Linked DNA regions of Drosophila melanogaster. The protein of the gene in region 1 purifies or fractionates together with the protein of each later gene. This does not show direct contact. Each region holds a gene or a part of one and is shown on either strand. Other genes may lie near its edges.

Region 1 (6,634 bases):
TCCGCACGTGTCGCTGCTCCAAGTGCTTCTGTGCGAAGTACGGCGGACTCAAGGCGGGAATATTGAAATCCGGCCAATCGCGCTGCTGACCCTTGGCCAAAAGGGATCACATCGCTGAATATTCAGTTGGTAGGCTCATACTTTGTAAGCGTAGAGTGCGATACCCTGTAGATAGTGGGGAAGCAACACATCGCATCATATTCACATAGAAACCGCAGGTATGACCAATCTTAGTCCTAGAATACTATTTTATACTACATATTTCTATATTTTTATTGCTTTACTCTTAATTTGTGATGTTTTTAATGAGACCTACTAATTATTCGAACATTTGGGCATACGAATATCGAAAAAAAACACTAACTACATATGTATTTATGTATGTATTACATATGTATGTATATTTAAACCGCTCAAGGTGCTACGAAATCCGTTGTGAACAAAAAACAAAGGAGAACGTCTAGAACGCAAGAAGAAGAAGATGAACGAGATCAACAAAAACGGAACCGTTGAAACTCAAGAATCAAAGGAGAAAGCACAGAAAGATAACTTTTACCGTAGCATCCGAGCGCCAAATCAAGCAGAGCCCATAATTATACTGGCAGAAATGATATCGAAGTCGAACTAATATATAAGCAATATAATAAAAATGTATTTAAATAATATAATATCTATGTATATTTGTACGTGTAAGTCTATAAAGTAAGTCTATAAATCCCAATTCGCACCACTTTCTTTCCGGTGCACTGCATTGCCCGTGCGAGTCAGAGAAAGATGGAAAGATGGGTGCTCCTCCTCTTTGGCCGCATGAATGGAAAATGTTTGGGAAAAACCGGATAAACGGCGCTTGCAGCCGCTGCTTTTGGCCAAACTGGCGGATGAAACTATGCCAGCGATTTGTGTTAGCGTGTTTGCCTTATTATCTCGACTTTTATTTGGATCTTGGCCATTTAAAACGGCACTTTAATCGCATCATTAGCCCGCATGCGTGCGTGCGTGCGAGCGAGACAGCCGCTTGTCGTCGCAGCCTTAGTTCGTCGACCTCGTGCCCTCTTCCTCTTCACCCTTTTCCGAAGCAACCGTTGCAGTAACGGTTGTTAGACAATACACATGTAGCAAATTGTTCGCTTGTTGTTGTTTCATTTCATCAGTTTTTCAGTTGCATTTTCACATTTTAATTAACATTTTCAGGCGTAAACTTATCAATCGATACGCATGCAATTAGAAAAGTGTACAAATAAAAAAAAAATACATATGTATGTATGCTTGTATGCTTGAATGTGTGTGAATATCGCACGCGAAACTGCAGCCAAGTGTGAGTGTGTGTGGGTTATTATTTTGCCGGCCGGCAAAAATGTGGAAGAGAGACAGACAAAAAGATGAGAGAGGAGAGGGCGAGGTTAGCAGCAGAGAGCGAGGAGAGCGGGAGAAAGAGAAGACAGATTTGATTTTCCTTTTTGTTTTCATATTTTTGTTTCACTTTGTTTATAATTACATCATAATTAAAAAATAATACATAAGGTTGCTGACGAATTGTACAAAACGCTAGTGTGTTGTTTGTGTTTTGCAATGTGTGTGTGTTCTTTTTGCGCTTTGGGAAATATCTTCTTTAAGTTCTTCTTTATCTTGATGTCCTTGTCATGCCGCGAATGTGTGTGTGTAAGCTTGTGGGTGTGCGTGTGTTGGGTGTTGTTGGTGTGTGTGTGGAATGGCAGAATATGCATTTTCGCTCATTTTCATTTTTTGTAGTTCTTGTTATATTAAAGGTTTACAAATAAAAAAAAAACAAAAAATACATAGTATATCATATCATATCTCATGTGGAATAAATTAATTATATTAATACGCTGGAACCACACAACATGCGCCCAAAACGATGATGATAATGATGATGGTGTGCAGGTGGTTCCGCTCTTTTCATCTTGTAGTTGGTGTTGTTGTTGATTTTGTTGTGCTGCACTCCAAACTTCCACCACTCGCACTTGCACTTTCGCTGCTGCTTCCTCGACTTCTCCTCCTCCTCCTCCAGCAGAATCAAGACCATCCCGATCCTGATCCTCTTGCCCAGACAAGCGATCCTTCTTAGAAGCACTTGCGGTGCACAATGGAGGGGCCGGACTCGTCGTACTCCTGCTTGGAGATCCACATCTGCTGGAAGGTGGACAGCGAAGCCAGGATGGAGCCACCGATCCAGACAGAGTACTTGCGCTCTGGCGGGGCAATGATCTTGATCTTCATGGTCGACGGTGCCAGGGCGGTGATCTCCTTCTGCATACGGTCGGCGATGCCAGGGTACATGGTGGTGCCACCGGACAGCACGGTGTTGGCATACAGATCCTTACGGATATCCACATCACACTTCATGATGGAGTTGTAGGTGGTCTCGTGGATGCCGCAAGCCTCCATTCCCAAGAACGAGGGCTGGAACAGGGCCTCGGGGCAGCGGAAACGCTCGTTGCCGATGGTGATCACCTGTCCGTCGGGCAGCTCGTAGGACTTCTCCAACGAGGAGCTGCTGGCAGCGGTGGCCATCTCCTGCTCAAAGTCGAGGGCAACATAGCACAGCTTCTCCTTGATGTCACGGACGATTTCACGCTCAGCGGTGGTGGTGAAAGAGTAACCGCGCTCGGTCAGGATCTTCATCAGGTAGTCGGTCAAATCGCGACCAGCCAGATCCAGACGCAGGATGGCATGGGGAAGGGCATAACCCTCGTAGATGGGCACGGTGTGGGAGACACCATCGCCGGAGTCCAGAACGATACCGGTGGTACGACCGGAGGCGTACAGCGAGAGCACAGCCTGGATGGCCACATACATGGCGGGTGTGTTGAAGGTCTCGAACATGATCTGGGTCATCTTCTCACGGTTGGCCTTGGGGTTCAGCGGGGCCTCGGTCAGCAGCACGGGGTGCTCCTCGGGTGCCACACGCAGCTCATTGTAGAAGGTGTGGTGCCAGATCTTCTCCATATCGTCCCAGTTGGTCACGATACCGTGCTCAATGGGGTACTTCAGGGTGAGGATACCACGCTTGCTCTGCGCCTCATCACCCACGTACGAGTCCTTCTGGCCCATGCCGACCATCACACCCTGGTGACGGGGACGTCCCACAATCGATGGGAAGACGGCGCGGGGAGCATCGTCTCCGGCAAATCCGGCCTTGCACATGCCAGAGCCGTTGTCGACAACCAGAGCAGCAACTTCTTCGTCACACATTTTGTAAGCTGCAATGGAAAGAATGCGGATTTCCCATTAGTTTTTGGTTACCTTATTTGGTAATGTAGAAATGGCAAAAAAAAAACTGAGAATTTGCGTGGTTTCCTTGGACTGCGCTGGTCTACCAAAGTACAATTGTCATAACAAACTAACTTGTTTTTCGTGTACAATTAAAAATCACTCAATGCAATGTACGTTTTTTTAGTACAAAATTTTAATCTTGGACAAAAAAAATTTCATAAAAAAATACTTTTCCGATTGAAAACTGATTTTCACTTGCGATCGAATTGTAATAAGAAATTAAAAGAACAGTTACAAAATAGAAGGCCCCGCCCCGAAAAATTAAAACCACAATACGAATATGCCGAAAAGGGAGGGGAGAAGCTTCTAGACGACACTTAACGAATGCCGGTGCAAAAGAAAGCCGCAAAGAGAGCACAGTTGCCTGTGTGTATGCGCCCTTAAAATGGCGGCTGCCTAAAACTCGAATTGGAACCCGAAATTAACATTACAAAATAAAAAAAAAAAAAAACACTAAACGCACTCTAGAAAATTTAACAATTAAGAGCCACGAAACTTTTCAAAGCTAGTTAAACTTTACCTTTTTGTTCGATTTAACAAATTCAAGGCGTGAAAACTACTGTAAACGCAAGTGGCGAGGCTGAGCTAAGCGACCGCACGGTTTGAAAGGAATGACTGGAATAAACCGACTGAAAGTGGCTGGTGAATGTTGAATGCCAGTTAACTGCGTTTTTCAATCGCTGCCTGCGTCGACGTCGCCATAGGCGTCGCTCGCTCTCGCCATCTCGCTCGCTCCGCGCCATGGTCGCTATGGGTGCGAAGGAGAGCGCTGGTGTGTTGAATTGCGGCGGCCAAGTTTTGTGACCATATATGGTCATGTTTCGAGGCGAAAAGCAAACCGTCGTCTGGCTTTCGCTCTCTCACACACACATACACTCTCTCTCGTTATTTTGCGCGTGAGTGTGTGTATATGAACGAATGCTCGAAGGTTTTCTCCATTTTTGCAACTACAACTTTGAAAAACCGGCAAAAATTTCTGCTTCAGCCAAAACGGCTGCCTACGTCACTATTTTCAAGAACCTGATCTAGTTTTACAGATTATAATATGCATATACTGTATGTATGTACATTTATGGATGATCTGGTGTTTTAGGGCGTGGGAAAAAAAGAAAGTGTTGGCGAATTGATTTGCAATTCGTAATTTGGCATATCTTTGGGTGAAATCGTGACACGCCCACATCAGCGAGCTTGGCTTTAAACACTATATTAGATCCTAACATTTGAGTTGGGGCTATTGAATTGCTTTGGTTTTTATAATTTCGTATAATTTGTATGTATATATCCTGAAATCTGCAGTTGTAATCCTGATTCTTGAGTTATGGTATTTGAAACCCTGGTTTTGTTAATTTTGATGTCTTTCGACCTATTGGTATTTTGATTGACAATTTAGGGCCAAACTTGGGTATTTTTGGAGTTTTGGTCAATACAATAACTCTTTAGCTCGTGGCTAGTATTTTTTGATCACTTTCAGCACTGGCACATAAAAAAATGTTTTGTTTACAAAAAAAATCACACATTTTCCGCGGCTTTTCTCGATTATTGCTTTTTCTTGGTGGGAGTGGTTCGATGGTGTTTTGTTGTTGGGAAGGGGAAAGCTACTTACATTTGGTGTGTTTTATTAAAATTAATTAAATAAATATAAATTAAGTCTTTCGGTTTGGTGTCTCTGGATTAGACGACTGCTGGCTGATGGAGCGGCTTTGTGTCGGGAGGAGTATCCACACAGCACAAGAACTCAAACGGTAGTGATATGAAAACTGGTCCCGCAGCCCGTTTTATAAAGCCCGCTTAGCGCTAAAACCTTATCAGCCGCAATGCTCTCCGCTCTCAAGTCGCGTTCAAAACTTTTACCATATATGGGTATGAATTGTTCGCCGATTGGGTTTTCATTTACGGAGAATTTCCTCCGCAACTGGGTGTTCGTGCTTGTGTGTGTCTTGTATATCGCCATGAAGAGTGTACTTCCATGGGTCCTATCAGTTGCGGCATGTGATTCAATTTGGGGGTTACTCATATTCGATACTTCAGCTGGTTATCTTTATGCTGTGATGGTCACGGTGCTTTTACACATTTTTTCCCCAACTACTCATTGTATGCCAAAACATACATATGTACATGTGTTTATAGTGGGTTTATTAGTAATGTCCAGCGATATTAAAACATTACAGTTAAATAATATTCATATTAGCTTACGTTTACTGCTATCTGCACTTCAAATTGGTTATTCCAGGGACATTTTGTGCAACACACATCTTCTAGTAGGGCATTCACTAGTCGTAGAAAACACACCTAACTTAAGCCGGTTTTAACAATAACGGCGAAACAGCTGCCAGACGAGAGAAAAGTACACAGCAAGAAGCATTTCTATAATGATGCCGTCCTAAATATGCAGCATTTTTGCTCAAATTGATCATTTCGTTGCATCGCTCAGGTGGTATAGTATTTGGCTATTGAATGTGATTGCTATCTTAATAGTTTTGAATAGTAATAGTGCAAATATTCATTCATAAAAAATAGGTAATCGATTTTTTCAGTGCAGTCTATGCGTTTGCGCAACAGAGACGAAGAGAGAGACGCCTCACACACAAGCACATGCGGTCTAAGCTGCTCTCCCTCTTTTTCTCTCTCTCTCTGGCTTGCGGCAGTTTTCCAGAGGCTGTGACTCAGTAAGCATTTCTTGTTGTTACCCTAACGATAAGCGTCCGATTCCTAATTCTCTTTCAAATAATTTGTTTTATTTTTTTTTTTGTGTGTTTTGAAGTCAAACAGCTTCATAAACAATATTAAATATCGCAATTGTTATTGCAAATGCATTCGTATCAGGCGCCTTGATGTTTTTCGCCAAAACTTCGTCTGCTCTTTGTCAGCGTAATTGCGTTTGCCGGTCGTGCCGTCTTGCTCGCACGCGGCTTGCAAACAAAAAGTGAAAGAGGGAAAGCCACCTGTGTTGTTGCTTTTGTTGCTATCGTTGGCTGCACACACATGGCAATAAGTAACCATATTGTAGACTTATTTATTTTAGCGTTTTCGTTGACTAATCTTTGTTTAAATAATTGCCTATTTCGAGCCAAAATGACGCATAAAAGGAAACGGCAACATGCGGTGCGTTGAGCATGCGTAAGCGAGATGGCGCTAGAGAGAGCGCAGCATAAAAAGAAAAAAACAACCGGCGAGTGGCGAGACACGAATAATACACACACGCACACATGGTCAAAGGAGTGGCTCCAACGTCGGTGACGTCGCGCCCAGCCACAGACCCCGCCACGCCCCGCCCCACCCTTCCTTCCGCTGCCCCGCACCCCTTTCCTTCCACTACCGTTTTGCCGCATTTGGTATTGCC
Region 2 (4,689 bases), on another chromosome or scaffold:
TATCTTCAGCCAAAACTCTCGCGTTGATCGAGTTTTATCTGCTCTTTCCGACCAACTACCTTTATGGCTGAAACGATACTGAGCGGGTTTGCCACACTGCGGATCTGGCCGCTCATATGCTTGCTGAACACACAAGTAGTTCCCCCGAAAAATTGGATAACACGCTCTCCCTCTCCAATTATTTTCGTTTTCGGCGCTCTCTGGGGGATCATTGTTGTGGTTTGTTTTCACCTCGCGAGCAGCCTTTTGTTTACTCAGGAGCGGATTCGTTGGGCCCCCATGCCAAATTTCAAGTTTGAGGACATAAATGACAATGTGCAGCATATGGTATAATTTATGCGGCCAGTCAAAGTAGGAAAACAATTAGTTTCCTAAAGAAATAAAGCTAAGCCAAACGAATATAAATAAAATGTAACTGAAAAACTAATATTCTGTTTTACCTTGGATAATCATTTATATTTTAATTCATTTTATAAAAAGGTTTACAATTGAATCAGTCTTTAAACGTGCATGAATGAAACCAATTATTCTTTTCCACAATACTTCTAGTACCTATAGATATTTAAAATTCAATTCATATTTTTGTGGGAACATATGGCACGTGGCAAGCCTACTAATTTTTGGTACTTAAGGAATTTCATCCAAAGTCTCTTTTAATTACTAACATCGTGTCTTGAATCTCTCATCTGGAAGTACTAAACAAATAATTTAATCACGCACTTACTAATTTGTTTGTTTCAGCGAATATAGCGTCATTTGTATTAAAGTCTCGACTGTAATATAATTACTTCCAAATTGGGCTTAAACCATACTGTGTTTAACAAAAAAAACTTCAACAGGAAACTGTGACGTGATTTGAAAAAAAATTGACAATAAATTGTGAACAAAATATTGTATAATTGAACACCTATAATTGCAGTGCGAAATTTTCTTAGGGCTTGATTTTTTTTTAATATCAACAAGATTTTACTCTTATATTGTCTGGACTGCAGTTCCTACAATTAGTTGAAAATAGTCTTTAAAACGTAAATAAAATTAAATACATTGTCGCCAAAGATGGAATGACGAAAACGACATTAACTTTCACAATCTAATACCAAGATATCCATCATGCTATATTTAAATTAACCTTGATCAATAATTATTCAAGGCACGGGAAAACAAATAGCTCGTCACGAAAGGTGTTATTTGTTTGCAGTTTGCTTTTGGATTGGATCCACCTGGTAGAAGAATTTAGTGTACTAAAGGAGAGCTTTACAAATATTGTAATTTGATACATTATGTTTTGGATTAGCATTTGATTTATTCTTCACAGTGAAGCGAATTGTTTGCTTTGTTACAATCATCTAATATTTTCGAATACAATGTTTGCCTTTTTTAAGCTTAGGTATAGGTAAATTTGATTATCAAGGTTAGTTCTTTATACTTAAAGTAATTATGTCTTGTAGTCTAGCCGAAAACTGGATTTTGCTGCTTCTTTTAATCTCCTGACTCCTAAAACTCCGAAGCTTCAAAATTCGGAGCGCGCGTTTTATTGATTCGCTTCGTTCTAATGTTGTGACAAGCAGTCTCAGACAATATTTACCAAATCTTACGAAATGAAAGACCCATACGTATACTTTCACCCAAGTTGACCTCTCTGGATGATAGTGTACGAAGATTATCAGCTCGGAAACTTTTGTAGCTTCGTTTGCTGCGTTTATTTTGTGTCAGTTGTTGTTGCCGCTCGGAAGTCTTTTATAAAGGCCAGTCGGGCTAGAAATTCTATTCAGTTCAAATATTAACGGCGTCGTGTGCAGTTGCCTGGCATTTGATATAAACTGTGAGTGTGAATTGGAAAATAGTGTTCTATCCCATCCATATTTATGCAAATATTTATAGTAGAGTGATTGCATTCGTAAATCGACGTTGCTTACAATTCCCGTTCATATAGTAGCAAAATAAACAATCCGTGTGCGGTGTGATATTTGAATGCAACGCATTTTGTTGGGTATAAATTGGCAGTGCTTGTTTGTTTGTCCGCCACTTGGTTTATTGAAAATTACTGATGGAGGCTTATTAAGGTAGTGATAGTGAATAAACATTTATAAAAATAGTACAGCGCCACGATAAGGCTAAATCTTTCACTTGTGCATGTGATATATTGATAAGAACAAATAGAAGATTATTGTTGAAGTAAAGAATAAACAAATAAACAAAACAACTGAATGGAGTGTTTGAAAAGATTTGTCATATTGCGAATCTTAAACATCGAAATATTAAGAGTCGACCTAACTAGTTTTAAAAATCTTTGAATTTTTTCATTTCTAATACAAAATGTGCTTTCATTTGTTTTGCTGGATTAATTACATAATTATATTTGAAGATAGCTTAGACATCACGACAACAAATATTTGTTTATAGCTCCTAAAGCTTAGATTACATTGCGCATTTGAAGAAAGCCACTGCCCAACGGTTAAGTAAGCTTTTCCTGTTCTAAGCCCAAGCTTTTAAGAGATAGCTTTGTTTTGGGGCCAGCACTTTGACTACGCTCCTTTAAAACGTCGGAAGGTCCACAGGTGTCACTGGAAAATGTTTGATTTGGGCGTGTTGGTTCGACAGGTGTCGTCCCATTTTGAATTTGTTATGAAATGTGACAGCAAATCGGGGGAGTGTCCATAAGTGGGCTCTACGCCTGATCGGAATATCAATTGTTTTGGGCAAATGACACACCTCAAAGCCCCCGTTGAACTACGCCTCTCTCATCTGGAAGTACTAAACAAATAATTTAATCACGCACTTACTAATTTGTTTGTTTCAGCGAATATAGCGTCATTTGTATTAAAGTCTCGACTGTAATATAATTACTTCCAAATTGGGCTTAAACCATACTGTGTTTAACAAAAAAAACTTCAACAGGAAACTGTGACGTGATTTGAAAAAAAATTGACAATAAATTGTGAACAAAATATTGTATAATTGAACACCTATAATTGCAGTGCGAAATTTTCTTAGGGCTTGATTTTTTTTTAATATCAACAAGATTTTACTCTTATATTGTCTGGACTGCAGTTCCTACAATTAGTTGAAAATAGTCTTTAAAACGTAAATAAAATTAAATACATTGTCGCCAAAGATGGAATGACGAAAACGACATTAACTTTCACAATCTAATACCAAGATATCCATCATGCTATATTTAAATTAACCTTGATCAATAATTATTCAAGGCACGGGAAAACAAATAGCTCGTCACGAAAGGTGTTATTTGTTTGCAGTTTGCTTTTGGATTGGATCCACCTGGTAGAAGAATTTAGTGTACTAAAGGAGAGCTTTACAAATATTGTAATTTGATACATTATGTTTTGGATTAGCATTTGATTTATTCTTCACAGTGAAGCGAATTGTTTGCTTTGTTACAATCATCTAATATTTTCGAATACAATGTTTGCCTTTTTTAAGCTTAGGTATAGGTAAATTTGATTATCAAGGTTAGTTCTTTATACTTAAAGTAATTATGTCTTGTAGTCTAGCCGAAAACTGGATTTTGCTGCTTCTTTTAATCTCCTGACTCCTAAAACTCCGAAGCTTCAAAATTCGGAGCGCGCGTTTTATTGATTCGCTTCGTTCTAATGTTGTGACAAGCAGTCTCAGACAATATTTACCAAATCTTACGAAATGAAAGACCCATACGTATACTTTCACCCAAGTTGACCTCTCTGGATGATAGTGTACGAAGATTATCAGCTCGGAAACTTTTGTAGCTTCGTTTGCTGCGTTTATTTTGTGTCAGTTGTTGTTGCCGCTCGGAAGTCTTTTATAAAGGCCAGTCGGGCTAGAAATTCTATTCAGTTCAAATATTAACGGCGTCGTGTGCAGTTGCCTGGCATTTGATATAAACTGTGAGTGTGAATTGGAAAATAGTGTTCTATCCCATCCATATTTATGCAAATATTTATAGTAGAGTGATTGCATTCGTAAATCGACGTTGCTTACAATTCCCGTTCATATAGTAGCAAAATAAACAATCCGTGTGCGGTGTGATATTTGAATGCAACGCATTTTGTTGGGTATAAATTGGCAGTGCTTGTTTGTTTGTCCGCCACTTGGTTTATTGAAAATTACTGATGGAGGCTTATTAAGGTAGTGATAGTGAATAAACATTTATAAAAATAGTACAGCGCCACGATAAGGCTAAATCTTTCACTTGTGCATGTGATATATTGATAAGAACAAATAGAAGATTATTGTTGAAGTAAAGAATAAACAAATAAACAAAACAACTGAATGGAGTGTTTGAAAAGATTTGTCATATTGCGAATCTTAAACATCGAAATATTAAGAGTCGACCTAACTAGTTTTAAAAATCTTTGAATTTTTTCATTTCTAATACAAAATGTGCTTTCATTTGTTTTGCTGGATTAATTACATAATTATATTTGAAGATAGCTTAGACATCACGACAACAAATATTTGTTTATAGCTCCTAAAGCTTAGATTACATTGCGCATTTGAAGAAAGCCACTGCCCAACGGTTAAGTAAGCTTTTCCTGTTCTAAGCCCAAGCTTTTAAGAGATAGCTTTGTTTTGGGGCCAGCACTTTGACTACGCTCCTTTAAAACGTCGGAAGGTCCACAGGTGTCACTGGAAAATGTTTGATTTGGGCGTGTTGGTTCGACAGGTGTCGTCCCATTTTGAATTTGTTATGAA

What was found. Proteins that work in one complex are often made in the same cells at the same time.
Region 2: the proteins of Act5C (region 1) and glob1 purify together in Drosophila melanogaster (affinity purification with western blotting; one study listed by BioGRID). This does not show direct contact.

Annotation. Positions count from the first base shown.
Region 1 is NC_004354.4:5,899,277-5,905,910, reverse strand, and holds Act5C (actin 5C), read right to left. Parts: upstream 5,051-6,634; 5' UTR 4,898-5,050; intron 3,930-4,897; exon of another isoform or gene 3,815-3,929; intron 3,222-3,814; 5' UTR 3,214-3,221; coding exon 2,083-3,213; 3' UTR 512-2,082; downstream 1-511. UniProt on the Drosophila melanogaster protein: Actins are highly conserved proteins that are involved in various types of cell motility and are ubiquitously expressed in all eukaryotic cells.
Region 2 is NT_033777.3:15,901,635-15,906,323, reverse strand, and holds the start of glob1 (globin 1), read left to right. Parts: upstream 1-1,680; 5' UTR 1,681-1,822; intron 1,823-3,739; exon of another isoform or gene 3,740-3,881; intron 3,882-3,940; exon of another isoform or gene 3,941-4,122; intron 4,123-4,689.